Linked DNA regions of Caenorhabditis elegans. The protein of the gene in region 4 purifies or fractionates together with the protein of the main gene of each other region. This does not show direct contact. Each region holds a gene or a part of one and is shown on either strand. Other genes may lie near its edges.

Region 1 (7,478 bases), on a different chromosome or scaffold from region 4:
CAAACATAGCGAAAATGTTGAATTTTCCTAGTTTTTGAAACGAAAGAGAAGAATAAAAAATAGAATTCCCAGGACAGGTGGCTCAGGAGCCCTTCACTCACGATTCTCATCATTTCAGACATCCGTTTTTTAAACATCACACACCCATCATCAGATAGTGAGAAAATGTGCGTAAGGGGGGAATTGTGTGCCAAATTGCTTCTTCTTCGTCCTTTTTCGCCGTTTCTCGGCACTTTTCGCATAAATATACGCTCACGAGCAAATGGATTCGGAAAGGGGAGGGAAAACTCATTTAGAAGTGAAAAAAAGGAAGCAGATGGAGGAGTAGATGCAGAAAAAAAGAACCTTATTCAAACATTTTCGAATTGCACCGGGAAGTTGGAAATTATAATGAGAAAGGGAACTGGAAAAATACAGTACCGCCTATTAAATACACCTCAACTTTTTCTGGAAATTTTTTGATTTTTATGATCTTCTTTCTTTGAATATCCTTGTATGTTTTACCTTGGATAAAAATGATAATAAACTAAAGAACATTTAACAACTACCGTACTGATAAAGACGCACACGGATTTTCGCAGACGATATTCGAACATTTTCCAATTATTGAATTTGGCTGCAAACGTCAACTTTCCATCTACAATATTCATACACATTTAAGTACATCATGAGAATTATTGATGTTCCAGTTTGATCAAGTTTTCTTGGAAATTTTCTGAATATTTCCGCTACTGCTATTTATAATTCATGAGCATAACACATAACTACGTGAGATTCCAGATAAACTAAACATATTTTTGTTAGTCTAGTTCAAAAAGTTTTAGCTTGCCCGCTAACATATATTTTTTCAGGAAGAAATCGACATCAACTTGGAAGATCCACAAGTTCAAGACGCTGCAAAGAAAATTCAAAATGTGTTCCGGTAGGAGTGCTTCAACCTCCTTTCCCCAAAAATATGATTTTTTCAGAGGAAAACGATTCGGAGCCAAAGCCGCTGCGCCGGTAGTTGCTGCCGTTGATAAGCAATAATTTGATAATCTATTGTGAATAACTTTATAATAAAAACTTTTTTAATTCAAAAGACCAATAAATGTTAATAAAGTGTACGAATAAATGATATAATCCTTTCAGAGACGTTTGTCGTGCCATCACGATATACGAGGAATATGTAAAATGTGCAGACGGTGCTCGAGAAGCTGTGAAAATGTTCATGGATACTAATCCGTCGTACACTGGAAAGCATCTCGTAGAATTTGCCGCGAGATTGTAAGCGGATGGTTCCAGAATTGGATATTTGGTAAGTCTATAGTAGGCCTTATATTTGATTAGAGACATTTGAACGGAGACAAAGTTATGAAAAAAGGTAATTTTAGGATTTCTTGGATCAAGCAAAGGTATCTCACCCTATCACTTCAGAGAACGTCCCCTTTTGGCTGGAAACAATTCGTCTCCTGACTTCACTGGAATGCCCCGGCCTCATCAAAATGCTCGCTGGACAATGTAGTTAGCATTGGGACGGAACAATTCAACCTCCAATTTGTGGAAAGTTGCCTATGAGGCGATTGGTGGAACCCAGAAAGAGCTTTTCGATATGTTTAAATGTGGAATCGATCATGAGTCCAAGAGAGCAAGTCAAGTTCCACCATCTTCGGGAGTTGCTCCACCATTGATCATTCAAGCCTATCCAAATGCACAACATTCGGTAAGATACCGTTTTTAACTATAACGTTTTATGTAGTCGAGTAATTCTTACTATGCTATTAGCACTAAAATCCTCTTAAATTGTGTTGGGTTTCAGGGCTCCGATCCGAACATCCACCACGGATAGCCACATCGATGAACAAGTGATTTGAAAATTGTACGTGATCGTGATCGGTTAATTGTGTTTGTCCCACCACTCCCCATCTTCACATGTGTACTGTTCCCACTTGATCACTTCCATCTCTCTTTTTTTTTGTCAACTTTAGAATTGCCTCTGATATTTCTTCATGATTCTTTTCCTGTATGCTTTCATTACATCCATGTTTTATAATTGTAGATTCCACACTCGCCCGACTCTCCTTCAAAATGTTCAGATAACCTCCAAATAAATTATTGTAGTGTGAAGTTTCAAAAATAACATTTTTATAATTTAACCTATGTGCAATAAGAAAACACATCAGAAGTCGAACCGTATAATACAAAGAAATGAAAACTAGATTTAATCGGGCACTCGGTAACCATTATACCCAGTAGTTGAGGGAGCTGCAATTGATTCGCTTCTCACGCAGATGGCATCACTTTGAATCGATCAAATGCAGCCTTTTCGAGAGCTTCACGATCATCCGGATGAGAGATTTGAATCAACTCATAGGCTCTTTGACGAATTGATTTTCCCCATAGATTGGCGATGCCATGCTCGGTAACGATGTATCTGGCATGTGCACGTGTCGTGACCACTCCAGAACCCTGAAAATTGAACTTTAACCTTCAATATAGCTTCCGTTTATAACTAACCTGTGTCAAGAATGGAACAATTTTCGTTTGTCCCTTAGTGGTTCTCGATGGTAATGCAATAATCGCCTTTCCAAGTCCATCAAATCCGTGTGGACTGGCAGCCATAAAGTCGACTTGTCCACCGAATCCACTGAAAAAATTGCGTCCAATCGAATCCGATACGATTTGTCCCGTCAAATCGATTTCAATCGCTGAGTTGATTGATGTCATTTTACTGTTACGGCGGACGATGTCGATATGATTGGTGAAGTCGCATGGGGCAAAATCTGAAAGTATGATTGGGTTTTTAGTTGGAAGATGGAAAAAATCGAATTTTTTTTTTTTTGGGTTTCTGTAGTTACAATTTTTTTTTGATATATTTCTTGATCCAAATTGAAAATTAATTTTTTAAAAATTTTTCTGATTAAAAAAACAATTTTCTCTGTAACGGTTCTGATGAACACATAATTGGGACCAAGGGTGGCGGTTTTTAAAAAGAAAAATCGAAGGCTTTTCGTTTTTCAATTTTTAAAAATTTGTATTATAAAATTCGATTTTTCAAAAATTAGCTTAAAATTTTGGTCATTGTTTTTCTTTTTAGAATCAATTTATTTATTTATTTATTATCAATAAAAAACAAAATTAGATAAAAATCATATTTTATGGTTAATTTTCTGAACATTTTTTTTTCGATTTTTCCATTTTTAAAAAATTCGAAAAATCGGAATTTTCCAAATTTTCGAGATTTCGTTTTTCCCTCATCGGGACATTTTTGAATTTTGGAATTTTTTTCGTTTTTACAAAATTTTTGTATTTTTCCGATTTTTCTGTTTCGCTCATAAAACCAACAAAAAATATCTAAAAAATTTTAAAAAATCGTTGAATTAATTTTAACAGCAAAAACGGATATCTGTGGTATCCTTGCACAGTTCTAAAGTTATTTTTAAAAAAATTAAAATCACTTTTACAATTGGTAAAATAAAAACTTACAAAACTCTGGATTATTATCGATTTTCTTATAAAATTCCTTTGTTCCAAAAGCAAACGAGGAAACAGTTTTTCCTGGCATAAAAGCCTTCTTTTGATTATTAATAATTCCACGATCAATCAAATCAATAACTCCATCACTAAACATTTCCGTGTGAACTCCAAGATCTTTGTGCTGCTTCATCGCTGCCAACGCCGAGTCTGGAATTGCTCCGATGCCGAGTTGAAGGGTGGCTCCGTTGTCGACAAGGTTCTCGGCAATTATTTTTCCGATTCTTTGTTCGGTTTCAGACATTTCTTCTCCACCAGACTGACGGAAAGCGATTGGTCGATCCGTTTGAACCATTGCAGCGAAATGAGAAGAATGGACAGTAGTGTGGCCTCGGGTACGGGGCATTGTGCTGTTGACAAGGGCTGAAAAAATATTTTTTTGCAACTTATTGATTATTTATTTTTACCAATAATTTTTTTGGCACTAGTCGCTGCAGCCAGTGTTGTGTCAATGTCGACTCCAAGTGTACAGAATCCGAGCTCATCTGAAATAGAAAAAAAAACAAATTTTTAATTTTTATAAAGTTGTTAATCACAAAACCCTGTTTTCGCTTTTTTTTTTATGGCGACTTTTAATCAAATTTAAATTCTTACCAGGTGGAGAGACAGTAATCAGTGCAAAATCAACATTCAATGTTCCACTTGTGTATAAAGAGGGAACTTCAGAGAGGAAAATCGGAGTGTAGTCAGCGGCGCCCAAATTAACATTTTTACGATTTCCCGGGCAAATGAACAGGCTGTTGTTTTGAATTTTTCCTGAAAGCAGTAAATTTAAAAATTAAAATACTTGAAATTGACTCACCGTGATATTTAGGGTCGAATTGTGGGCAATTTCCGCTTAAAATTAGATGAGACATTCGGATATTGTTGAGATTTGCCGAATCAACACGACGACAAAGTGCTTCGAGAAGAACATTGGGAGCAGACGCATGGTTTCCAACGTAGATATCAGAATCTGAAATAATTTGAATTTTAGAGATTTTTAATTTTAATTTCTCGGATACAAACCTGAATTCACCATCGCCAAGGCTTCATCTGCCGATACATATTTTGGCACGAATCCAGGTTTTGCGTGCAATAATTTTGTTGGTAGACGAGGCCCATTTGTGAAATGCCTGAAAATCACAGTTCAAAAAATTATCGACTTTTGTAGAAGAACACTAACCTTGAGAGGGAAATAACTGAACTTTTAGATAGTTGCTTGGCCAGTTTCAAGGACATTTCTGCAAAAATGGAAACAATTAAAATATTTTTTCAATTGAATTGAGAAAAAATCAAAAAGAAAACTCAGTGAATGATAAAAGAAAAGCTATCGAAACCTCACATGTGAATGCTTTTTCAATGTTCTATGTGCTCCACCTCCTTCAGTTCTTCCAAAACATTTTTCTCAAATTTCTCTCAAAAATAGAATCACGAGGAGATGAGAGAACAAATTAAGATCACTGATAACACATCAATGAATCAGTTTTTCTTTTGACAAAACTAGAAAAAGTTCGAAAACCCTACAAAAACTAGAAATTGTTCACGAAAATCAAAAAATCGCTTCGAAAAAAAATGTTTCCAAACAAACGACACTCCGATATCCCGATGGAATGTCGGTGTCTCTCGATTTCATGCACTCTCTAATAGTGTAGTCAAGCGTTTGATTTTTGGATTTTTGAACTTTGCGGGAACCCGGAAGAGTTAAATTTTGACTCAAAATAATAATGACAATTGGAATGAAAATATAATTTGTATCGTGATTTCACTAGATTTTGACGTTCCTTCTTAAAGGCGCACGGATTTATTCAGATGGGTCTTGGCGCGCAAAAAGTTTACGGTAGCTACCATAAACTTTTTTGCGCGCTGGGACACTTCTTAAGAAGGAGTTTAAAAATCTAGTGAAGTTACGATATATGTACTGTCACACGGACTAGAAAGCATAATAAAGAACCAAGATTTACAGAATTTTTCGGATATTGAACGAATATTTATGCAATTGCCTACATGCAAAACATCCGAAAACATACCTTTGTTCAATAATACAAAAAATGTATAGACCGCACGGGAAACTCGTCTTTGACCAGAAATGTTAATTTGTGATTGTTCAGCTCAAACATCGAAACACCTAGGATCCCTTCCTAACTTTCACAGTCCCCAAATCCTTTTTCTTACCGAAATGTATACATCCTGAGATCTTTATATTCAGAATATCCTATTTTGGTTCTCGTGAACAATTTGTTTTATTGCTCACCGAAGTGCTCACCCAAACGACTATTTCGAACCAATTTAAACTCGGTTTCCCAAATTTTCTCGTCAATTTTCCACTTTGTAGTATCCTGAAAAGTGTCTATCTATCACTTTTCTCGAACGGCTATTTTTGGGGCTATTGGAACATTTAAATTTTTTGTAGAACACCTTATGCTCTGAACTTTTAAGAAAATTTTGGATAAGATGCTTGATATTCTATTCCATTCAGGATCATCAATGAATAGCATTCTCCTTACGTTTATTGTTTTTATGAATTTCTTATAGAGTGAATTTTGTGCAAAATTAATGTGGGAAAAATAAAGAAGCGGAAAAGTACAAAACAACTTTGTTTTCAACGTATGGGATAGCTTTTTCTTTGAAAATTTTATAGAGTTCATACACAAAAAAAGCGGTCTAGAAGCTTCAGTTCATTCTGAAAGTTGGCAGATAACATCTAGATCCCTTTTCGTATTCCAGGCCCCCATGTCTGCAAGATGTCTGCAAGTCTGCAAGAATACACCATTTGACATTATTCGCAGTAAACCAAATGTGCCAAATAGTGCGACAAATGTTTTGTCAGTTGACAGCATTTTTATTAGACAACTGAAATTTGAGCTACAGGCTAGAGTTTGGAATAATATGAAGTGAAATTTTAACAGCGTCTGAGTACATAAACACAACGTAGCTCAGCAACGAAAAGAGATACATGAAAATGGTTAACTGAAGAAATGTAGCTTTTAACATGTTTATTGATTTTGTAATGTTTTATTTCTTCTAACTTTAAAGTTTCTTAAGTGAGCGACGGTCAAATTTAAAAATAACTTTTCCTAGCCTTTTTTGAGATTGAGCATCATCAACATGCGACAACAAGAATGTATGAAAATATCAAATAGCTGTTTAATATCTAGACACATCAAAGCAAATTAATACCTAAACTTTAAAAAAAATTGAAAAATTAAAAAAAAAAATTTTTTTCTTCAGCCATCGTGAGAGTTTGAAGATGGGATATGTTTTTAAGGTGTCCAATATGGCTGATATTGATAAGCAAATATGTTTGCTTGTAGATATAGTGTTTGAAAGTGAAATACTTTAGTAGCTATATGTTTGAATCAGTTAGCCATAATTGTGTGTCATCAAAACAAAAAGGAGACGATATGTAGTCGTAAAACTATAAACGAGTGTGGGTATTTACAACCTCACTCTGGGAAGAAATATTTGAATTCTGCAATTAGTTTATTGTTGTTTTACAACCATTTCAATCAAAAATAGCTAACAACTAAAAGCGGAGTTACTTTTTGAGAACGGTCTACAGCTGAATTTAAATCAATTTCACTACAAATGAATACTCTCGAATTTGATCCCTAAATAAAACCGATCAAGCCACTTCTACAATAAAAAATGCTGTGTTAATTATTTCTTATTCAAAATATCTGACCAGAAATAGTACTTAATAAGAATTCCAATGAAAAAATGAATAAAATTATAAAATTTTCTGAAAAGGTAGTATTTAAGCAACAAAAGTAGTATTTTAGCAATGGCAGTATTCTAGCAATAGTAGTATTCTAGCAATTTGGTAGTATTCTAGCAAAGGTAGTATTCTAGCAATAGTAGTATTCAAGCAAAAGTAGTATTAACACAAGGTAGTATTTCAGTATTTGCCAAAAAAGTTCATTTTGAAAATCTTTATTTTCGTACTACATTGATTAAAAATGTTTCACATTTGATTTTCAGACGAG
Region 2 (7,233 bases), on a different chromosome or scaffold from region 4:
CTATAGAAATAAAGCTTCGCGCACATACACAACCGGAAACCAATCATAATAATATTAAAAGCAAGAAGCCTTTATTGCGCAAAATCAAAAAGGAACGTGCATGAAAAAATCAACAAATTCTCAAATGAAAAGCAATAAATTTTGATGAAAATTTAAGAAATTGGGGGATAATAAAGAAAAAGAAAACAGATCGATCTTTGTTGATTATCGCTCGAAGAAAGCTATAAAAACAAACGGTAAAGTTGGGCTTGTTGAACGGGATGGGGAATATTATCAAACACGGCAACAGATCATAGAAACGGACACACTGGGGGGAATAGAAAAACAATTTTAATATTTATTCTGGTTGTGGCTGCTTCAAGTTGGTCATACCAGCGCGCATCACTTCATCAACAAGCAAGAGATTGCATGCAAGTACTGTCGCCGACGAGATACTGTTCTTCTTCACCGTCACATTGTCCCAAATTCCTTGTGGCTCGACAGCTCCTCCGGTTTCGAGATCGAGTCCAACGGCGATATCTGGTCCAGCGGCGGTTTTCTCCTCAATAAGCTTAACAAGTGTTTCCTGAGCATCATATCCTCCATTTACGGCCAGTGTCTTTGGAATAACGAGAAGAGCTTGAGCAAACGCTTCAGCTCCGAGCTTGGCACGTCCCTTCAGGTTCTCAACATCTTTTTTCAACATCACGTAGGCAGCAATTTCGAAAGCAGCAGCTCCAGGGAGAACAGCCTCTGAAAATAGGTTACTAGAACAGAAGTTAATAAAATTTAAACTCACTGTCAACGATGGTGTTGAAAACAGCACGAAGTCCATCATGAATAGCATCCTTGATTTGAGTGATGGTATGCTTGTTTGGTCCCTTGATAAGAAGAGTCACAGATTTTGGAGCACGGCATTCCTCGATAAACGTGTATTTCTCTTCTCCAAGGGAATGCTCGTAAACGAGTCCAGCCCATCCAAGATCCTCTGGAGTCAAATCATCAACTGAGTTGACGGCTTCTCCTCCGACGGCCAGCTGAAGACGTTCCATGTTACGTCTCTTGGCACGACGAAGAGCAAGAATTCCTTCGGAAGCAAGCAAGTCAAGAGATGGAGGATCGATTCCTTTCTGGTTGATAACAACGAATCCCTTATTCTTACCATCTGGAGAATTATCAATAACCTTCTTCTTCAACTCAATAATCTTGTGAACACGACGAGTAATGAATTCACGTTCGGCAGCGAGAAGTGCCTCACGTTCCTTGGCGGTCTTGTAGAAAAGTCCCGAGTTGACTTCAGTCTTCTCGTATTCCAAAGAAACGTTGCAAGTGAGAATGTAAGCGTCTTTAACGTGTCTTGGCATATCTGGGTGACGAGCTCCATGATCGAGAACTAATCCACGAACAAGTGTGGTATCCATATCACTGTCGTGGTGCATTTCCATCTTTTCAACCATATGAAGATCTGGTTCCTCTCCATCACGACGGATTGCCAAAACGGCGTCGACAACGCATCTGAAATTAAGAAGATAATGTTTTTTACTACTTTTTAATTGTTTGTTTCTTACTCGGTGATGTGATCAGCAAGTTTCTGATGAAGTTTGGTACGAAGAGCAGTGCGGCACACCTCTACAAGGAGGTCACGCTCAACGGGAGCCTCTTTCTTGAACTTTTCAAGCAACTCGAGGGTTTTTGTGTTAGCCCACTCGAAGCCTTCAGTAACAATACGTGGATGAAGACCCTAAAATTTTAAATAAATGTTTAAAGTTAAACTTTGGAAATTGATCACCTCGAGAACTAGAGATTCGGCTTGTTTCAAGAGCTCTCCGATAAGGAGAACGGTGGATGTGGTTCCATCTCCAGTCACGTCGTCTTGTGCCGTCGAAGCCTTGGCAATCATTGAGGCTGTTGGATGTTGAATCGCCTGAAATTAAATAGTGCTAAACGCTGAATCTGAACAAAACGATCAAACCATTTCGTGAAGCAAGACATTTCCATCCTTCGTCAATTTGATATCCCCAGCTCCAGATACGAGCCTGAAAATGTGATTATAGTCTCAATTATACATTTGATCAGTTTATTCTCACATCTTGAGAGTTCCCTTTGGTCCGAGGTTCGATCTCATGACGTCTTGAAGTCCACGAGCTCCACTAATATTAAGCTCGAGAGCGGCAGCATGCCTAGCTAACTCAGCTTTCGGGTTCAGGCACTGGATTGACGACATACTACCTGAAAACAAGAATTCAACTATGAAATATCTCAGTAAAACCAACAAAAACTAAAAAACGGAGAAATGAGATTGGAAAACGATTCAAGAGGAAAATAGACACGCATAAAAAGGTTCGAGAGCATATTACAATTCAAAAAGGTTCTAAAATGTATTATTACATAACTTTTTAAATAAAAAATAAAGACTTTCAACAGAAATCCTTGAAAAACAATGATTCTCGTTTGAATTTATTCTAGAAAATAAATTCGCTTCTAAAGGCGCACACAATTTCGCAACTGGGTCTCACCACGCAGAGACATTCTACGCTTTTCGGGGAGGATTTACGCGGTGTTTCAAAATTAGGTTTTTCATTATTTACATTGTTCCGCAGTAAAAATGCCCCAATACACCCTTTTCGGGAATAAGACGATGCAAACGATGCGCGGCCGCTGCCAATGCAGCATCAGTTGCTGCAAAAGCAGCTAAGAAGGTAAGCGTTTTTATTTGAAAAAAATTACCGGGAATTCAAATTCTTTGCAAGTTTTTCCAAATTGGGATTTATTTGAAATTGCTCAAAAATGTAATGCATTTTGCTTAATACACTCTACAGTGAAAATAACATTTTAAAACATTTACAATTAAGTTGACACAATAATTCCATGTTGTTAGCTTTCCCGTAGTTAAAAATTGTGCGAGAGATTGAAATTTGTGCGAATATTCGCCTTTTCAACGAAACATATACAAACTAAGTGGATCTGTGTTTTTATTTGAATTTCTGGGAATTAATTTTATCCTGAAGTTATGTATAAGCCGAATAGCTCTTTTTGTGTCGAGCAAGCGACTGCAATTTTCCACAATTTCCATTTCACAAATTTTAGTGGTCACTGCATTGTGTTCTTCTTTATCATGGTTGTCTTCATATCATCATTGATTCGGAAACTAAATATATATCAACCGGCTGCACGCCTTCTTTGCCGCGAATACGCAGAATACTACTATTCCGCAGATCACGACTGAGAAAATGATATTTATGACAAGGGAATGAGTTAATATTAATAATCAAAGAATTATTATAATTATCACGAAGTGGTTTCATATTTTTAATAGTCACGTGACTCGTCATTTCTTCGTTTTTACCTCGGACTGGCATGCCGCATTTTTTTTTTCATGAGCTATGAGCGCATTTTTTGAAAAATGTTTCTGCAATCAGATATATAAAACGTTGCCTGCCATAAAAACACAACTTGTAACCGCTGTAAATCATTAGCCTTGTATCATGTTCCACGTCATAAAATTTACAGCATTCTATAGTCTTATAGATATTGATCTGCAATCTGTCCTTGAATTCCTTGATTAACAATCAATTTCATCTCAGTTTTCGTCGTCATAAACAATCTGCCCGTGTCTCGCTCCGCCCATACATTTCATTCAATCTCCTTCGAACATTTTTCAATTCATTCTTGTTTTTTGACCACTAACCTCTTCGTTTTCTAATACCTTCTGTTTCAAAGCGTCTAACAATAATATATTTTTGTTTCCAGATGAACCGATTGTTGAGCAGTGGAATGTCTGCAGCTACCTTGCAGACCAGAATGGCGTCGCAATTGCTGATCAACGATTCAAAGTACGGATTCCTGAAAGAGCTTGGTCTCACGGAGAACAACGCCGGAGTCTTTCATGGAAAATGGGCGGCGAGTGGACAAGTTGTTCAGTCATTTGCTCCAGCAAATAACTCCCCTATTGCTAATGTAAGTTTCAAAAACATACCCTAAACGTTTTAAAACTTTCAAATTCCAGGTACAAAATGGAAACGTACAAGACTATGAAATCGCCATCTCTGAAGCTAAAAAGGCTTATAACGATTGGTGCGAGGTACCAGCACCACGACGTGGAGAAATCGTCCGTCAAATCGGAGACAAGCTCCGTACGCAGTTGCAAAACCTGGGAAAGCTCGTGTCCCTCGAGATGGGAAAAATTTCTGCCGAAGGAGTTGGAGAAGTTCAAGAATACGTCGATATTTGCGACTACGCTACTGGACTCTCTAGATCACTTGAAGGAAAAATCTTTCCTTCTGAGCGTCCAGGACACGCTCTTCTCGAACAATGGAATCCACTTGGAGTTGTTGGTGTGATTTCGGCTTTCAATTTCCCATGTGCAGTGTATGGATGGAATAACGCTTTAGCTCTTGTCACAGGAAATTCTGTTGTCTGGAAGCCAGCTCCATCCACACCATTGACAGCTATTGCTGTGACCAAGTAAGCTCGCTTATTTCATAATTGTAATCACTAAATAACTATTTTCAGACTTGTCGAGGAGGTTCTTGTTGCCAATAATGTAAATCCAGCTCTCTGTTCCCTTGTCTGTGGAGAGGGTGATGTCGGTCAAGCTCTTGTGAAGGATAAGAGAGTCAATCTAGTTTCATTCACCGGTTCATCAGAAATTGGAAAGATCGTTGGACAACAAGTTCAGGCTCGTTTCGGAAAGCTTCTACTCGAGCTCGGTGGAAACAATGCTATCATTGTTAACGAGGATGCTGATTTGAACATGGTTGTACCGGCAACAGTTTTCGCCGCCGTTGGAACTGCTGGACAGAGATGTACAACCACGAGAAGACTCATTGTTCACGATAAGGTTTACGATCAAGTTCTCGAGAGATTGAAGAAAGCTTATGCTCAATTTGAATCAAGAATCGGATGTCCATTGGATTCCAACACAATTATTGGCCCACTTCACAACCAACAGGCCGTTGGAAAGTACAAGGCTTCAGTTGCCGAAGCAGTTGCTTCTGGAGGAAAGATTGAGTACGGTGGAAAAGTTCTTGAGAGGGATGGAAACTTTGTTCTCCCAACAATTGTCACTGGATTGAAGCACGATTCTCCAGTTGTTCTTCGCGAGACTTTTGCCCCAATTCTCTATGTTCTGAAGTTCTCAACCCTCGAGGAAGCTATTGCAATCAATAATGAAGTTGATCAAGGATTGAGTTCTTCTCTATTTACAACAAATATTCAAAATGTTTTCAAATGGATGGGGTGAGATTTTCTGAAATTGTGAATTTAAAACTAACATTTAATTTTCAGACCAAAAGGAAGTGACTGTGGAATCGTCAATGTCAACATTCCCACATCTGGCGCAGAGATCGGAGGAGCCTTCGGCGGAGAAAAGGAGACCGGTGGAGGTCGCGAATCAGGATCCGACTCCTGGAGGCAGTACATGAGACGATCCACCTGCACGATCAATTACAGCAAGGAACTTCCTTTGGCTCAGGGAATTAAATTCGAATAGCTTAGTTTAGATTTTCTGTAAATATTCATTTCTCATTCAATTTGAGATGTTTTTTTTTCATGCATAATTATTCTCAGTTCCGTTCTAAAATTGCGTGTAATTCAACTCTTGTCCTCTCCTTTTGTGATTTGAATTTTTGTGCCATATCATTCCAAATGCTTAGTTTTTTTTTTAATGTTTGTTCAATAAACTTCCTTTTTTATTCATTCCACAAAATAAAGTGCAACATATTTTCAGCATATATGTCATAAAATTGACGAGACTGGTGAAAAACCGTACGCATACTTGAAAACCGATAAGCTGATTGGTTTCATCACTTTAAGTCATTTCCTAAAACTATAAATTCAATTTCACGCAGATTCTTCTCCGAATCTTCCGCTTGTTTTCTGCCCCAACGCAAGTTTTACTTTTTTTAAATACAATTATTATAATGATGGCATTTTTGTATGTTTAGGTGATGCCTGTTTTATAAATTAAGAGTTTTTTCTAAAAATGTTTTTAAACAACTTTAAACTAATCCACTTAGAAAGTCTGTCAAATTGAATTTTATTGATTGTTTTGGAAACAAACAAACCTCACAATTACAAAAACGCTTTCATTGTAAATATTGACGAATTTATCTCGAATATATTTATTTTTCTCTTAAAATAACTATTTTTACAGCATAAAAAGTGCCCGAAAAATGGCAACTGAAGCTGTCTACGGAAGTTGGGATAGTCCGATCACACCAGATCTCTTCGGAAAATGTAATTGCAAGTCTATCTGCGAGATGCAAGTTGTCGGTGGCAATGTCTACTGGATTGAACAGAATTCAGTAACTGGAAAACGAGAGCTTTACTCAAAACCAACGAATGGAGATACTCGTACACGCTGGGCTGATGGTCAATCTGTTCAAACTGCAATTCACGAGTACGGAGGAGGTGCTCTACATGTTCTTGCTGATGGATCAGTGCTGTTTGCTACGATCGAAGGAGTTTTCTATCAAAAGTCGGCGGATTCCGGAGTTGAGCAATTGGCAGAAGGAAATAATCGAATGTTTAGGTCAGGGATAATTTAAATGGTGTATAACTTTCAAAAATAAATAAAAAACATTTTCAGATTCTCCGACTTCTCAGCCACTGACACCCATGTATTTTGTGTTAATGAAACCCACCAAGCTGATGCAAAATTTCCCGAAAATCGACTAATCTCCATCGACCGAGCAACCAAGAATCAAAACGTCATAGCTCACGGAGCCGACTTTTACGCCTATCCAAGAGTCTCCCCGGATGGAAAAAAGCTTGTCTGGATGCAATGGAGCCTTCCAAATATGCCATGGGACGAGACATCCATCCGAATGGCTGATCTCAAAGGTGGAGAATCCAGCAATGAGGTGACGCTGAAGGACGGAACTGGAAAACAAATCAACTATTCCGAACCAACTTGGGATGGTGATGAGCTTTTAACTGTGAATGATAGCACAAACTGGTGGAATGTGTATAAATCAGCTGCAGAGCCAAATTCCGTCGAGAAGAACCTGAATCCAATTCAACGAGAGATCAGCTACCCGCTTTGGCAGCTTGGTTTCAGAAATTATGTTCTGAATAAAAAATATTTGGTGAGAATTTTAGATTGGAAATTCAAAACATTCTTCAAATATTTTAAACCTAAGTTTACAATTTTCAATATAATTAGTTGAACTAAACACAAAAATTCGAATTTTTAAATTGACCTAATGAAATTTAAATATTTCAGGTAATGAACGCAGACGGAATTTTGTATGT
Region 3 (8,071 bases), on a different chromosome or scaffold from region 4:
CTTCTCGTCGCCACAATAATCCATTTGTCTGAAAAGAAAACTCCCGACTTTGCTCAAAGATTTCTCACGAATATTTTTCAAATTGTTCTTGTTTTGCAATAATTTTTTCGACTTTTTATACAATTCTGAAACTACACTTGCGCAAAACATGTCTCGTTTTGTTAAACTAAACAACTCGAAGCACACACACAAATGGATGACGTTAAATATGATGATTAATTGTATCGTCCAGCATTGTTTAGTGCTTCTCACGGTCAGCCTCGAATCCAACTCCTGGAACAAATTGCTCCGCCTTGTTGTGGAACAATGAGTGATTTCCATCGGACCATGGGAATGGCTGAAATTGAATATTTATTAGGAATGCATTTTCAGAATGGATTGATTGATTTTCAAGAAAAAAATGTTGGCGATTCTAAATTGCAAAAAAGTAGGAAAGTTTTTGCTAAAATCTTTAATTTTGTCAACTTTTCTGTGTTGCAAACGTCGGAAATGAGTATTTATTTTATTATCATCCTTTTTTCATGTTTTGGTTGTTAATTTTACGTTATTCCGTCGATTTAGGTCAATTTTAGTCTGATAGACCAAAACAATAATTCAATAAAACTGTATTCCAGCAGCTGCAACTAGAACATGTTGGCTAAATTGGAGATTTAGCTAAAATTTTTCTTACTCTTTTTTTGAAATTTTTAACCATCTTGGGAATTTATTGAGACCAATCGTTTTTTTTAATTACTGAGAAAACGCCAAATTATAAAATTGTATAATCATTTAAAAGCTTGATTGTAGAAATTAAAATTCCAAAAAAGCGACTGTTTTTTTTTTAATTCGTTTTGAATATTATTAAACTTCACAGTCATCCTTTTTAGTTTGAAAAATGCCAGAAAGATGACATTTTTAAACAGTTTGCCGATAACTTCTTTAATGAGGAAGACATGAAAGCTAAATAACATTTTTTAAGTAAAATTTTAAACTATGGCAGATTTCAAGATAAAAACGAATATTTTACCTTGTTGCGAACGTTCAAGAAGGCGTACTCGACGTGCTCTGGGCGTTCGTGGCTCATGTGTTTTTTGTGATCCTTGAAGGCGGCATACATGGTAAGAGCCAAGCATGGAATCGAAGCAATGAAGAAGATTTTCTTCCAGGTCTCGCTAGCATCTGAAAAATATATTTTAATCTTTGAACATCAAAATAGAAACTATTTATTTTAAAAAAAAACACTTACTGTGAGCTTGCTTGAGTGGAGTGACATATGACTCTTTGAATCCTTCGACATTGTTGGATCCGTAAAATGATCCTGAGGATTTGCGTTGGAAGGTCTTGACGACCGAGCGGGTAGCTGGTTGAGCGAGACGGTTCATGTCGGATACCTTTAAAATTTGAAATGAAGTTGAGATTTGTGAGAAAAACGGAACGCGGGGGGAGAAGGAGGGGGAACAAACTTGTTTACGTGAAAATTGAGAAAAAAAGAGAAAAATCAGGTGATTTGATGAAAAAGTACAAAATTGTGATTTTTAAATCAGAAAAAGCAATAAAACAAACTCACAAAATAAAAACAAATGAGGTTTTTCTTACGTCTTAAGAAACCTAATAATTGCTATGAAGAATTTTAGAAATTTAAACCCGACAATAATGATTGAATGACATGGTTGAACACTTGCAGATTTGAATTCGAAAAAGTGGAATTTCTAGTCGAACAATATCGATTTACGGCTGCGGTTTATATGCTATTGTGGTTAAAAAATTCATAATTTGTAATTTAATCATTTGAAACTCAAAAATAATCAATAAAAGCACTGTTTGTGAAGTAAAACCACAGAAACGCACGTTTCCTCAAGAGAAAATAACGGAGAGGCCGTCTTCGCTGCGAGACCAGCCGGTGAAATGGCGTGCGCCTTTAAGGTGTGTGAAATAATTGTGCTGCAACATGCTGTCTAATTTGCCTATTATCTCCGTTAGAAATGCTTCAAATTTTCTGAAACTTTGTTACCTGTTAAAACATGACATGTAGAACGAACACATAAAAAATTATTAATATCGATTCATTGGCTAAAAAGTTATTGACGGAAATAAGTATCAAGTTTTGGTTCGATTCTTGCCCTTTTTGAGTTGCTTGACGGAGAATTGCGGAACCCACGAGATGTCTGCCGCCTTGCAGGTGGCCACTATATAAGCAACAACTGGTCCTGGCTGTCTCGTTCTTCCGAGAACATATACTAAAATTGGAACAATACAGAGAAGATTAGCATGGCCCCTGCGCAAGGATGACACGCAAATTCGTGAAGCGTTCCAAATTTTTTTTAAAATTTCGCGTAACCTACCGGAAGCTCGTAAAATTTTTGCCTTTTGAAGATTTTACGACTGATCCTCTAATGTACAGAGTAATAATTCGTTTGTCCTGAATCAATCAATTCACAAAGAAGTCGAGACTTTTATGAGTCGTCCTGTAGGTGTCTATTTCTTTCAGAATTCTTTTTCAATATATGTGAAAAATAGATAAATACAACACGTATATTAAGAGCAATAAACATTTTTCAAAAAAAAAAGCAAAAGGAACAAAAATTACAGGGAAAGCGAAAATTCAAGAAATTTATGAGTTCTTCTGTGGAACCTTGATGGTGACAGTCTTTACTTCAGTGTATGCCTCAAGACCATATTCTCCGAGTTCGCGACCGATTCCTAAAAGAAAAAGTATTTTTTAACTTTGGCATGGAGAAATTTTAATAATAAATTAGCTTACCGGACTGCTTGAATCCTCCGAATGGAGCAGCAGCATCGAACACATCGTAACAATTAACCCAGACAGATCCAGCTCTGGTTGCGTTGGCAATATGAAGTGCCTTATCAATATCCTTAGTCATAACTCCAGCAGCCAATCCATAAATAGTGTTATTAGCCTTTTCAACTAATTCTTCCATTGTGTCGAATCTAATGATAGTCATAACAGGTCCAAAGATTTCTTCTTGAGCAATAGTCATCTGATCCTTAACATTAGCGAAGATAGTTGGCTTCACAAAGTGTCCTTGATCTCCGTGTTTGGCTCCTCCAGTCACCAATTGAGCTCCATCCTTCTTTCCAGCAGCGATATATTTTAAAATAGTCTCAACCTGCTTTCCGTCAACTTGTGGTCCTTGAGTAGTTTTCAAATCAAATGGATCTCCGATAACAGCCTTCTCGGCCAATTCCTTGGAACGAGCTACGAAATCATCATAGATCTTTCCTTCGACAAATGTTCTGGATCCGGCACAACAGCACTGTCCTTGATTGAAGAAGAGTCCGTGGTTGGCTTGATGAACGGAATCATTGAGATCAGCGTCAGCGAAAATGATGTTTGGTGATTTTCCTCCGAGTTCCAAAGTGACCTTCTTGACATTCGATTCTGCAGCAGCCTTCATAACAAGTCTTCCAACTTCAGTTGATCCAGTAAAAGCGACTTTGTCAACATCCATGTGCGACGAAATAGCTTGTCCGGCAGTATGTCCGTATCCTGGAATTTATTTATTTGAGAAACTCACAATTTTTACAAAACTGACCTGGAATGATATTAACCACTCCATCTGGGAATCCAGCTTCTTTTGTGAGAGCAGCCACGTGAAGGGCTGAAAGTGGAGTCTGTTCGGCGACCTTCATAACGACTGTGTTTCCCATAGCCAACGCTGGTCCAAGTTTCCAAGCTTGCATAAGAAGTGGGAAGTTCCATGGAATAATCTGTCCGCAGACTCCCACCGGTTCGTGACGAGTGTAAGTGAAGTAGTCACCCTCGATTGGAATAGTCTTTCCGTGATTCTTGTCAGCCCATCCGGCGTAATAACTGTAATAAAGTTATTTTTTAATGTTAGCCATTTTTCCTTTTTTTACAATAAATTTTAATTTTTCTCATCAATACAAACAAAATTTGATTCAAAAAATTGCATTTTTTGGCTGTTAATTTTCTAAACAGTTTTTTTTGATTTACGGTTGTCCGGACAATCAAAAATTTTTGTTTTTCGATTTTTTTCTCTCATAAAATTGAGAATTCGAAATTATTTTTGTAGATCTCTTTGCTCATTTGGCAGTAAAGTTTTTCGTTTTTTCTGAGTTTTCTTCTTAATTACAGACTATTTTGGGATTTTTTTACAGCAAAATTCTCCAATTTATGCTATTCGAACTCACCGAAGAGTCTTGATAGAAAGTGGCAGATCAGCATTGTAAGCAACTGCATATGGCTTTCCATTATCCAAAGATTCCAAAGATGCCAAAATAACTCGATCTCTCTCCATTAAATCAGCTAGTCTATTCAGAAGAACTCCACGTTGAGAAGCATCCATTCGTCTCCACTCACTGCCGATACGGAATGCATTTTGAGCAGCCTAGAAAAGTTTGAAGATTGCTTTAAAATTCGAATTTAGATTTAAACCTTGACAGCGATATTGACATCTGTTTTATCTCCTTCTGCGACTTGAGCCAAAACTTTTCCGTTGGCTGGATTGATAGTCTCAAAAGTCTTTCCAGACTTGGCTGGCACAAATTCATTGTTGATGAAGATCTGGAAATTTAGATATAAACTTTTTTGAAATTTGAATCCCTGATTTGGAGAAGTATCACATTTCGTCCTAATTCTGCCCTCTAAGTTTATTTTCTCAAATCCGATCATCGTTCAGTTTTGATTGCCCTATCTCACTGTTGACCGAGTTCATTGTTCATTTCGTTCTCCACCTCAGGCGACCACGTTTTCCCTATGAGATAGTATCAGCTCTCTTCTTTTTCTTTTTATTATCATCATTTTAAATTGATCGTACTCTGTGTACTAGGTACACAACAGAGCACAACGTTGAGGGCACGTGGTTCCGTTGAAATAATGTAATGAAAACATGAGAAGAGAACATTTTTGCAGCAGAAAAACAGATCAAAAGGTTCAAATTCATCTTTTTGGTTTCTGTTGCAGTTTCTGATAACGGCGGTTTCAAAGCGCACGTAATGTGATGTTCTTGTAACTTTGAATTTCGCGGAAAATACGGATTTTTGAGAAAAACCAATAAGATTCGATGCACAATTTCCACTTTTGTTTTCTTTTTCTTTAAACACAAATTACTTGAAAATCAACGTTTTTAGAAATTGGCGATCCAATGGGCTCCGTAATTTTTTCTTTCAAAATTCAAATTAGAGTCTCTCTCAACATTGTCTCCATTTTCAAGGTTATCCTGTGTGATTCCTATCTTTTTTGCAATTTTTTTAAAACAACGTTCTGAGAAACTTACGCCGGTGTATTGTGGTTTCATGTTGGAAAGACCTGGTGGAACACCGGAGGCATTTCGTGCCTGAACTGTTGCCCGGAGAGCTGAACGGAGCATTCTGAAAATAAAAATTATAAAGGATTTACCCGAATAAGGCAAGATTTTAAAGAAATTAGAAAGAGGACGCAAAATAAAAATTTACAGGTGAATGAGGTTAGATATTGTGAGTTCACAGCAGCTCGTTTCTTCATAGAACATTTTAAATTTTAATTAAATAGAAAATAAACTAGTTCCAGTGGTAATTCGGAAACATCGAATCAGTATATCTAAAAACTGTGGCAAAAAGTGAATATCAGTATTGCAGAGACTTCTGACAAAATTATTCAAAATCGATTAACTAATCTTCTTCCAAAAATTCAACTCTAAACAAAATAGAGAAAACTAAAGATTAGATATGAAAAGAATGGACAAACACGCCAGCCTCGATGGTTAGGGTCGAAATAGATAAGAGAACACTGAGCGATGGTTGAAAAGTGACAGAGGAGGAGTCAAAAAGGCGGAGATGCAGAGAACTGCACACACAAATATACTTCAACGAAACATCTTCGAAAACAAAAAGATGAAGAAGCACGTGCTCGAATAGAACCAGCACAAAATAATGAGAATTTTTTGGAGTCCTGAAGAATAGTCAAGTATTGCACAACATGATTTAACCCTTGACCATTTAATATTTCCATGTCGAGATGGGATCTTTGGAAATGATGATAAATGAAAAACTTTGGAAAGATTGAACGACAGAGACAGGAATAGTTTCAGCAGAAATCAACTACAAAATTAAGAATTATCAAATATAAACAGAGTGGTTAACAACAAGATTCATCGTTAGTCCTGCCTAAAACCAGCAGAAAATAAACAAACGTGCAAGCATTTCAGCTGAGATTTGTTTTTATTGACAGATATAACTTAATTCTGAGAGGAAACGCGATCTTAATTCAAACGGAAGATAAACATTCAGGAAAATATTCTCAAACTGCGAGAAAATCCGAAAAAAAGAGCTAAAAATGTTTTTAAAATAGAAAGAAACTTCGAAACTGGCGCGGTGCCCTTGCTCAACAGAGCGCGCTTGGTGGCGAGACACTACGAACCTTTAGAAACTCTACTCCAGAGAAAGCAGTTACAAAGTCAACACTTGGCTTAATGAAGTAACAAGAAAAAAAGGACGAATGTAACGAAAATCTGAAGTTTTTTTTATCATATCAATTAGGCTTCGGGCTTCAAGAAAAAAATCGTCAGCCGTGGGAATCTTTTGAGAAAATGAAAGCATTCAAGTTTCTCTGCACATGTTTGAAAAATGTCATACAGTTGAATAAAAAAGCATTTCAGCATTTCACAAGCATGAGAAGCACGGGTCGCTTGAAGATTATTGTTTGAAAGTAATGATAATATGTCATAGGTCACAATTTGTATAGGCCACAATATGTCTTAGGTCATAATGGAACATGATTCATAAATGTTAAATAACAGTTGAAAAGAAAGGACTGTAGGATAGAATATTAAATTTTGTTTTCCATAAGAGACTATTGGAGCTGTAAACAAAATTAATGTTAAACTTTAACCAACAATTTCGAAGGTTCATGTTGTCAACAATGAAACCAGATGAATCTTGAAGTGAACAAATGTGTTAATTCTTCCAGTTAAACTTAGAATCCGAAAGATCTATGTTCGTTTTTTTTTTTGAAATCTGCCAAAAGATATTGGACGCCAGAACTTCATTAGCTCTAAGATGATGAACTATTAGGAGGAGCCAACTGTAGTTGAGGATTCATAGTTTTTGTTAATTTAGCAAAACAAAATCATTTTCTAGTCCTTTATTCAAATCTCATATATCTCTAGTTTTCAAGCTTCTTCCCACTTTTAAAGAACAAAATCCACTTCGGCTGGAGTAGGTGGGCCGTTGATTTCAAGAGGATTGGATTGGAAGTAGCGTCCGTCTGGATTCTCCCAAGCTGCAGGTGGAACAGACATCTGGAAGAATGAATTATTCTGAGAACTCAAAGGAAATTCTTACATCAGGCTCCTCATTTTCCCAGTCGAACTTTGAACTTGGAGTGATCTTCTCGTTCTCCATGACTTGCCAGAAACACTTGAAGATCATGCTGAAATTTAAATCGTATAAATGGATAGGAAATATAGAAAACTCACTGATCATCCGGTCTTTGGTAGTAATTGAGGGAAGCCAAATGAGGCATCAATTTATCCATACAAGCTGGCATATCAGACATGACATCCTTTGGCGTCAAGTTCAGCTTCATTTGCTCCACACGTCCGCGTCGATAATCGGTTTGCCATGGGAGTGCCTTTCCGCCGTTGAGCTCAATGATGACGTAGGGCAGTGACCATACATCGTCAACTCGTCCTTGCTCTTTACGGAGATGGACATTCGGAGACGCGTAACGAAAACTCCCACGAAACTCTGCAGAATGACGAGCTATACGTACAATCCATTTATTCTCTCGGGCATGCTGAAATTATTTGTAAATACTATGAAGTTTTAATGCTTAACTTACATAACGAGCGAAAGGTCTTCCAAGACCAAAATCCAAGATGTGAATGATTTTTGCTCTTTCACTATCCTTCTCATTTCCCAAAAATAAGTTTTGTGTATTCACATTACGATGGATGAATCCATTGTAGTGCACATATTTCAATGCATAAACCCATTGAATTCCAACACGGCTCCATGTTCCACGTGAAAATCCTTTGTTCACAACAAAATTCGTTGATTCCAGGTCTTGGAGATTTCTCCCCAATAACGTCATGACCATATAGGAGAAATTCATCTTTTTTCCATATAAGTT
Region 4 (6,984 bases):
AATGAGCATCGATAATCAGACGTGGTACATAAATTCAACATTCACAGATAAATCGTGCTTCAAAATAGAAGAAAATAAACACACAGGACTAAAATTGTTCTGAACTAGTATTATTCACATTTTATTTGAAGGTAGGCACGAAACAATAGCATGGTTGCCTTAAAGGCGACCTACGTACGTCACGTGGTCACTACAAATGCCATGTGAACTTTTTTATCGTAATAACTGATCTTTAAACTAATCTAGGAGCGCCTACGTTTACGAAAAACAAAATTAGCTTTTAAAAGTTTATAAAACGGAATATCTTCATAACATAAAATCTAAACTCGCTTCAAACAATTACAAGAAATTTACTAGAAAGAATAAAATTAAATCAGTAGTCAAACTTGGAATAGGACTATTCTTAAGGAAGTCAAACGCAATAAGTACCCTTTTTTTTGGGCCGGCCCATTTTTGTGTATCCTTTCACAATGACATAACGATGAATGAAGCGATGTTTTCCCTTTCATCTCCTATTTCTCTTCTCAATGAACCAGTGAACACGATTAAGTGACCAAAATGACCAGCTAACAGGTTGTTTTATTACAAAGCGATTCACGCTGAAACGAAGCTGCAAAAAAGAGTTTGCCGCCAGCAGGGGTCGAACCTGCGACCTTGGGCTTATTAGACCCACGCTCTAACCGACTGAGCTATGGCGGCCAACACATGTTCAGGAGCCCGGTGCCTACGAGACAAAATGGTTGAAAATGAAAGATGGTAGCTGAGCGCGTGATGAAAATCAGCAGGTTGACCACCTGGTTTTTGTTTTCTATTGCTATAAAGTTAGAAAAAACGAAACAAAAATGATGCAACTAGAAGTACTGTAAGTCATGAGAAAGAGGAAGAACTTTCATCAATAAAAAGCAAGGAGAAACAATTAAAAAAAAAACTGAAAATGTTCTGTTCCGCATATAGGCAAATGGTGTAATAAGGAATAGATCCTTCAGGTTTTAAAGGTTCGATAGGATGACAGCTTCTGCAAAACACCGTCTTATCTAGATTGCCGGTGTTGTGTTGCAGTGTTGCATAAAAGTTGTAAAAATCGTATCCGATATCGGTCGCAAGCTAACAAACAATAACTAGAGGCCTCTAAAAAATATCACACCCTCTATAGAGGGTGTGATATGATGCAACTTGTAGGATTCAATACTGTTTTATATTAATAACTGAGAAACATGTCGAACTTTCAATCGAACGTATACGCATTCAAACAGCAATTCAAACCATATACACACCTTATAGATTAATGCATTCAACCTACGTGCTTATTGCTGTTTTATTCGTACGCTTGAAGAGTGCATTTTATGCCGCCATAGCTCAGTCGGTTAGAGCGTGGGTCTAATAAGCCCAAGGTCGCAGGTTCGACCCCTGCTGGCGGCAAACTTTTGCCATGCTATCACTTTCACCTTTTTCCGCATTTCGATTACATCATCAGTTGTGCGGTTGGCGTCGCCTAACCATCCGATGAGATAACACCTATGTCGCATTTGCCGCGCGCCAAGGACATGCGGATCGGAACCGGTTTTAAGCTTTTCTTAATCTCAATCCACAGCAGAAGCAGCAGCCGCAGTACATGCATGTCGCTTCATTTTTTTAAACATCGTCCGTCCACCAGCACCTTGTGACGGAGAAGTGAAGCGCGTACATAATGCCATAGTATACCAATAACACATAAACGATACATGTAACTGGATGCGTTTTGGAAGAAGCAAAAGAGAAATGCGAAAAAAGAAGAATACCAAGTTGACTGACGGATTTTCGTGTTCAGATCTGAATTTGTAGCTGTACGTCTTAAAAAAGGGAGTGGTCTGAACAATACAAATTGAAGCGTTTTGGAACAATAATTTCATAGAACCCGAAAGAATTTTGAATATTTGAATTATAGTTTGAAACAACAACAAAAAACAAGAATTTGGTAATATCGAAATGAAGAAATGACGGCGCCTATGAAATTATTTGTATTGTTTAATTGATTTGGCAATGATGTCTACAGCAAAATCGACATCCTTTTTAGTAATACACATTGGTGGTTTGATACGGAGAACGTTTCCATGGATACCTCCTTTTCCGATCAGTAGGCCTTGGTTCTGTAAATTAATCTGATAGTTAGACAAGTAAAATGGCATTACACCTTAGTGTCTTCGAAGATAGCTGCTGTTTTGGCTGCGGCAAGTGGTTTCCCTTGCTCATCGATAAGTTCCACTCCGATCATTAACCCCTAAAAATCATCAAATTGTATATTAAAATCTTTTTAGAGAGTTTTCTCACTTTTCCTCTAACATCTCCAATTGTCGCATCATCAATTGCTGCAAGTTGTTTCAAGAAGTAATCTCCAACAACAGCGCTGTTTTCCTGAAGCTTCTCCTCTTCAATCACTTCCAATACAGCTTTTCCAACAACGGAAGCTAATGGATTTCCACCATATGTATTGAAGTATAGAGATTTGTTGAAAGAGTCGGCAATTTCTTTACTAGTGACAACAGCTCCCAATGGGAATCCGTTTCCGATTCCTTTTGCCATAGTTACCATGTCTGGCAAGGCATCTTGTGCTGAAAATTCAAAATATTGATTTCTTAGTTTTAGTATTATTTATTTTAAAAACTCACATTCGAATCCCCAAAAATGAGAGCCGAGGCGTCCGAAACCGGTTTGTACTTCGTCAGCAATAGCGAGTCCTCCCCGTTTTTGTACAGATTCGTAAGACTTTTTGAGATATCTGGAAAAATCAAATACACATTTTTCACTTTTCTTTTGAGATTTTACCCATGTGGATACTGAACAGTTCCTCCAACTCCTTGAATAGATTCAATCAAGAAGGCAGCTGGTCCGGATGAATGAGAGAAATCGTGAAGAAGCATATCATCGAACTGTTCAATGTACTTATCAGAAGCTTGACAGGATCCAGGCTTGCAATCGCATTTTCTGTTCTTTACTTGAATTGGAGAGTCACGACAATTGCTTCCTCCAAAGATTCCACGATATGGATCAGCATTCAATGACTTAAAAATGTTGAATCCATGTGGAAAAACTGGTTTCCAGTTTCCCAAATTAGTTGCTCCAAGAACAGTTTGGGTCATTCCATGATATCCATTTCTCATCGAGATAACATCAAATCGTCCTGTGTAGTTACGAGCAAGAGCTAAAGCCAGGTCATTTGCTTCCGATCCAGAGTTCACAAAGAAGACTGACTGAAAATTTGGATGTGAAGAAACGACTAGATATTTAGTAATTCACTATAGGAAGGCCTAACAGTTTCAAGTCTGCAAACTGTAGGGTTTGATAAAAGGGTAAAAAATAAAAACTAACATTCAATTTGCTTGGGAACTTTGAGAGCAACTTCTCAGCATACTCATAAATTGGTTCAGTGTGATAAATGGACGTGGTATGCCAAAGCTTCTGTGCTTGCTCGGTAAGAGCTGCGTTGATTTTTCTGAAAGCATAAAATTCTCATAAGCTTACAAAAAGAATACTCACGGATGACAATGTCCAACTGAGACTGTGACAATTCCACCAAAGAAATCGAGATATTTCTTTCCATTCGAATCAAAAAGGAATTGTTTTTCACCTTTCGTAATCAAGAGTTGATCCTTGTAATAGGTCACATGTCCCTTTGGAAGTAATGGACGAAGTGCCTGCACTCGTTGCATGGTTTAAGCTGAAATTTTTTCAATATTTGATGAATCGATTAAAGGGATCCAAAAAATAATGACTTGTGGAAAATTTTGAAAAGTTCACGGAAAAATCTACTTTCGTGTGGAATACAAGTTAAATACAGGAAATCATTAGAACTTATAGGCATTTAAGAAACACAATTGCACACAAAATAACTGGAGGGTGTGTCAAATGTTTCAAGGTCAAGTTGGATATATTACACAACACACACACACAAAAATGCACCAAAAAGACAACTGTCTATGACTGTCTGCGTATCTTCCATTCAAATACTTTTTCATTTGGCTCTGAGACAGTTGTCGTTGGGAAAATTAGAGAGAGTGACCAATAAATGTGTGGAGAAGAGAAAAAGAGCAACGTGTTTGAGGACAGAAGTGCAAAAGAACAACAAGTTAAAAAATTAAAGAAAGAAAAATGTCATTATTAGAACGGTTCTTTGTGAAAAACTGCCTGCAAAAAGAAAAAATGAAAGAAAGAATTTTCATAGAACAACTGAAAGATATCAAGAGATGATAATTGATAACTGTTGCACGTATCAATTGATAAAAATGAATAGGACATTCAATTCTGATTATTGACCCTTTTAATAATATTCTTGATTTGACTTTATGTGGTGGATCCGAAGAAATACTTTCAATACTTTCTCGTGGGGCTTAGTTCAGGCTTGGGCATAGGCGTAGGCTTAGGCTTAGGCAGGCCGGGAGGAGGAAGAGAGCACATGAAATTCCAGAAAATTGAATAGAAGAAAAAGAATAGAAGAAAAAAAAAAAGAAAAAATGCACAAAACCCATGATAAATGGAATTAATAAGAGAAAAAATTGCACAATCTTGAATTGTATTTTTCTTCCCCTCAAGTTTTGATTTTGCGGTATTTATTAAAAGTTTGGAGTATTCCGAGTATTATTTATAAAACCAACTTAACTGTTGAATCCATAAAGTTTATTTTCCGTGTGACTTTTTATTTATAAGCAGTACCCGCAGTGTATTATATTCTGTAAAATTGCCGAGTTGCCGAAAATCTAAGTCTTCTTTCCTTCTCGCATCAAAACTTTCTCTTTTCAATCGCAACCGTTCTCGTGCGACTTTCTTTTTCTCTTCTTCTTCACAATTTCTTTGCTATTTCTTCTTCTCTATGTAAAAGATGCAGATAACCCAAATTTGCGTATTGTTATCAATACCAGTGTTGCATACAACATCAATTTTCTCATTTATTGATTTTTGTTTTGGTCCAAGTTGAGGATAATTTTTCGTTGAGAAAAAAGCTTGTATTCCTGCCAAATCTCTCGTTTTTTCTTGTTTTCCGCCTTTGTTTTGACCCGTCAAACACCGTTCCGCGATTCGCTTTTTATTTACCTACGCTCTCTCGTTTTCTCACACAGTTCTTTTCACAGAATTTCAATTCACATTTTGCTGCTCGGGTTTGGCTATTTTATATATTAACATTTTAAAACAAAGAAGAAATGACTGAATTTTTCTCGCAGAAGCAGATTGATGGTAAGTGAAACAACACTATAATTCCAAGATTTGACTCCGAAATCTTTACTTTATTGTTTCTCATCAGAAATTCGTGAATGCTTCAACTTTTATTCAACCAGTGGAGTACTAAGAACAGATTCTCAACTTCGATGTGCTCTCCGAAGTCTTGGATATTCTCCAACTGCTTCCAAAACTGATATTTATTTCAAGAAGCTTAATAGTATGAGTTTTAGAACATTACACTTCTGAATGATTGCTATTTATTTCAGAAAAACCAATCGAATTTGCAACATTTTTGGACATTTGCAAAGATGAACAAAATAGTCCGAATCCACTGACGGAGATTATCAAAGCGTTAAGTGGATTGGATAGGTTAGTTGATGTGCTTTACAAAATAAATACGAAATTTTCAGAAATAAAACTCGCGCAATGCCATCTCGTGAGCTTGCCGCAATACTTTCACACGTTGGGGAGCAAATGAGTCCAGAGGAGATTAAATATCTTTTATCAAAAGTTGAGGTCAACGGAATGGTTCCTCATCAAGCACTTATTGAGTATATTTCCAAATGAAATTTACTTTGAGCAAATAAAAATAAATTGTTTTTATCTGGGAGCTGTCTAGTGAGTTATTGGATTAAGAACGGCTGCAATATATTTGGAAATAATTATTAAAAAATTATAATTTTCGTCAGGGCAGTCACAAACATGTCAGAACAAAACACGAAAAGTAAAATTAAAAATAAAATCCTAATCTTTTTCTCGCGACTAAAATGTCTGAATCAGTATTTTAGTAAAGAAAATACCCCAAAATAGTTTTGGATAATTTGGTAATGACCAAAATAGCAGATAAAACAAAAATGAATACAGATGGATTGAAAATTTGACTTTTGGAATCACCAAAATCACCAATCGCCAAAAATGCGAAGTGCACAATTCCAATGATGCATAAATATGTATAGAGCTCGTCCCGGTTTAATTTCAATTCTTGGAATGTTAAGTTTACGTAAAGTCATGTTAAAGCTTTCGAAGTGTATCAAACTTTCAGTAAAAAGCTTGAAATACCCAGCTTTCCGAGGCCGTCTCTGATCTGGCAAGTTGAGCAACGTTGATTCCAGTTTGTACTTGGATTGGAGGCGGCCTGAGAATCCTGAATGTTACAAGCTTTTTGCCAAAAAGATGTAGATATAGTTCGAAATCTTGAACATGACTTCAGGTAAATCTAACATTTCCAGAAATGAATTCAAATCAGTTTTTGTCTCCTCCATAGGAGATGTTCCAAAATTTGTAGCCGACACCAAATTTCTTTTCGTCAGAATTGTTTTGCGTACCATTATCACCTCCTCGAAATAAACAGATGAACAACAAACTATCGTGAGGGAGTACTCCGCGCGAGTCGTTTTTTTTATCTTCATGCTATGTATTAGAAGGAATTCGGCATTTAAACATGCAGTACGTGAATCATTACTTCCGACCGGCTTCAATGTTAGTCATGTCCGTTGTGTCAAAATTGAACACAAAAAAGTGCCGAACGCTTTTTGGTTTTAGTCATGACATACACAAATGACACATTGCAAAGAACAAAAGTGGATACCGACACATTATGTGGTCTCCTTTTTTGTAGCAAAAAATGGTTCTTGTGAAGAAATTGAATTCTTCAACAAGGAGCAACGTATCACATTGATATTGTTTCAAAAAAAGTACTCGAAATGCCCAAAATAACAAACTTCCAAAATACCAAAATACCAAATTTCACAATGAAACTTCTCAAAAAATTATGCTGAAATCTTCAATTTTTGA

The links.
Region 1: the proteins of T09B4.8 (region 4) and ZK1320.9 fractionate together in Caenorhabditis elegans (co-fractionation; one large-scale study listed by BioGRID). This does not show direct contact.
Region 2: the proteins of T09B4.8 (region 4) and alh-9 fractionate together in Caenorhabditis elegans (co-fractionation; one large-scale study listed by BioGRID). This does not show direct contact.
Region 3: the proteins of T09B4.8 (region 4) and alh-1 fractionate together in Caenorhabditis elegans (co-fractionation; one large-scale study listed by BioGRID). This does not show direct contact.

What each region holds. Positions count from the first base shown.
Region 1 is NC_003280.10:9,681,978-9,689,455, forward strand, and holds ZK1320.9 (Acetyl-CoA hydrolase), read right to left. Parts: upstream 4,737-7,478; 5' UTR 4,735-4,736; coding exon 4,679-4,734; intron 4,629-4,678; coding exon 4,522-4,628; intron 4,469-4,521; coding exon 4,316-4,468; intron 4,270-4,315; coding exon 4,108-4,269; intron 3,999-4,107; coding exon 3,921-3,998; intron 3,877-3,920; coding exon 3,466-3,876; intron 2,763-3,465; coding exon 2,497-2,762; intron 2,449-2,496; coding exon 2,263-2,448; 3' UTR 2,111-2,262; downstream 1-2,110. Other genes in the region: ZK1320.13 (Purkinje cell protein 4-like protein 1), read left to right, coding at 852-922, 969-1,029.
Region 2 is NC_003281.10:5,853,480-5,860,712, forward strand, and holds alh-9 (Putative aldehyde dehydrogenase family 7 member A1 homolog), read left to right. Parts: upstream 1-3,729; coding exon 3,730-3,936; intron 3,937-3,985; coding exon 3,986-4,443; intron 4,444-4,491; coding exon 4,492-5,217; intron 5,218-5,265; coding exon 5,266-5,470; 3' UTR 5,471-5,700; downstream 5,701-7,233. Other genes in the region: cct-6 (T-complex protein 1 subunit zeta), read right to left, coding at 338-732, 779-1,494, 1,548-1,720, 1,769-1,903, 1,952-2,015, 2,067-2,203; dpf-4 (Peptidase S9 prolyl oligopeptidase catalytic domain-containing protein), read left to right, coding at 6,153-6,511, 6,569-7,067, 7,205-7,233.
Region 3 is NC_003281.10:5,075,025-5,083,095, reverse strand, and holds alh-1 (Aldehyde dehydrogenase domain-containing protein), read right to left. Parts: upstream 5,332-8,071; 5' UTR 5,331-5,331; coding exon 5,238-5,330; intron 4,526-5,237; coding exon 4,397-4,525; exon of another isoform or gene 4,350-4,396; coding exon 4,153-4,349; intron 3,812-4,152; coding exon 3,534-3,811; intron 3,488-3,533; coding exon 2,741-3,487; intron 2,680-2,740; coding exon 2,591-2,679; 3' UTR 2,435-2,590; downstream 1-2,434. Other genes in the region: cox-6A (Cytochrome c oxidase subunit 6A, mitochondrial), read right to left, coding at 239-337, 1,007-1,158, 1,226-1,361; Inactive tau-tubulin kinase ttbk-6, read right to left, coding at 7,128-7,238, 7,282-7,369, 7,416-7,735, 7,781-8,071.
Region 4 is NC_003279.8:6,162,846-6,169,829, forward strand, and holds T09B4.8 (Alanine--glyoxylate aminotransferase 2, mitochondrial), read right to left. Parts: upstream 3,695-6,984; 5' UTR 3,687-3,694; coding exon 3,514-3,686; intron 3,470-3,513; coding exon 3,346-3,469; intron 3,228-3,345; coding exon 2,803-3,227; intron 2,756-2,802; coding exon 2,646-2,755; intron 2,589-2,645; coding exon 2,308-2,588; intron 2,258-2,307; coding exon 2,171-2,257; intron 2,127-2,170; coding exon 1,992-2,126; 3' UTR 1,874-1,991; downstream 1-1,873. Other genes in the region: T09B4.4 (EF-hand domain-containing protein), read left to right, coding at 5,172-5,205, 5,273-5,407, 5,457-5,559, 5,601-5,757.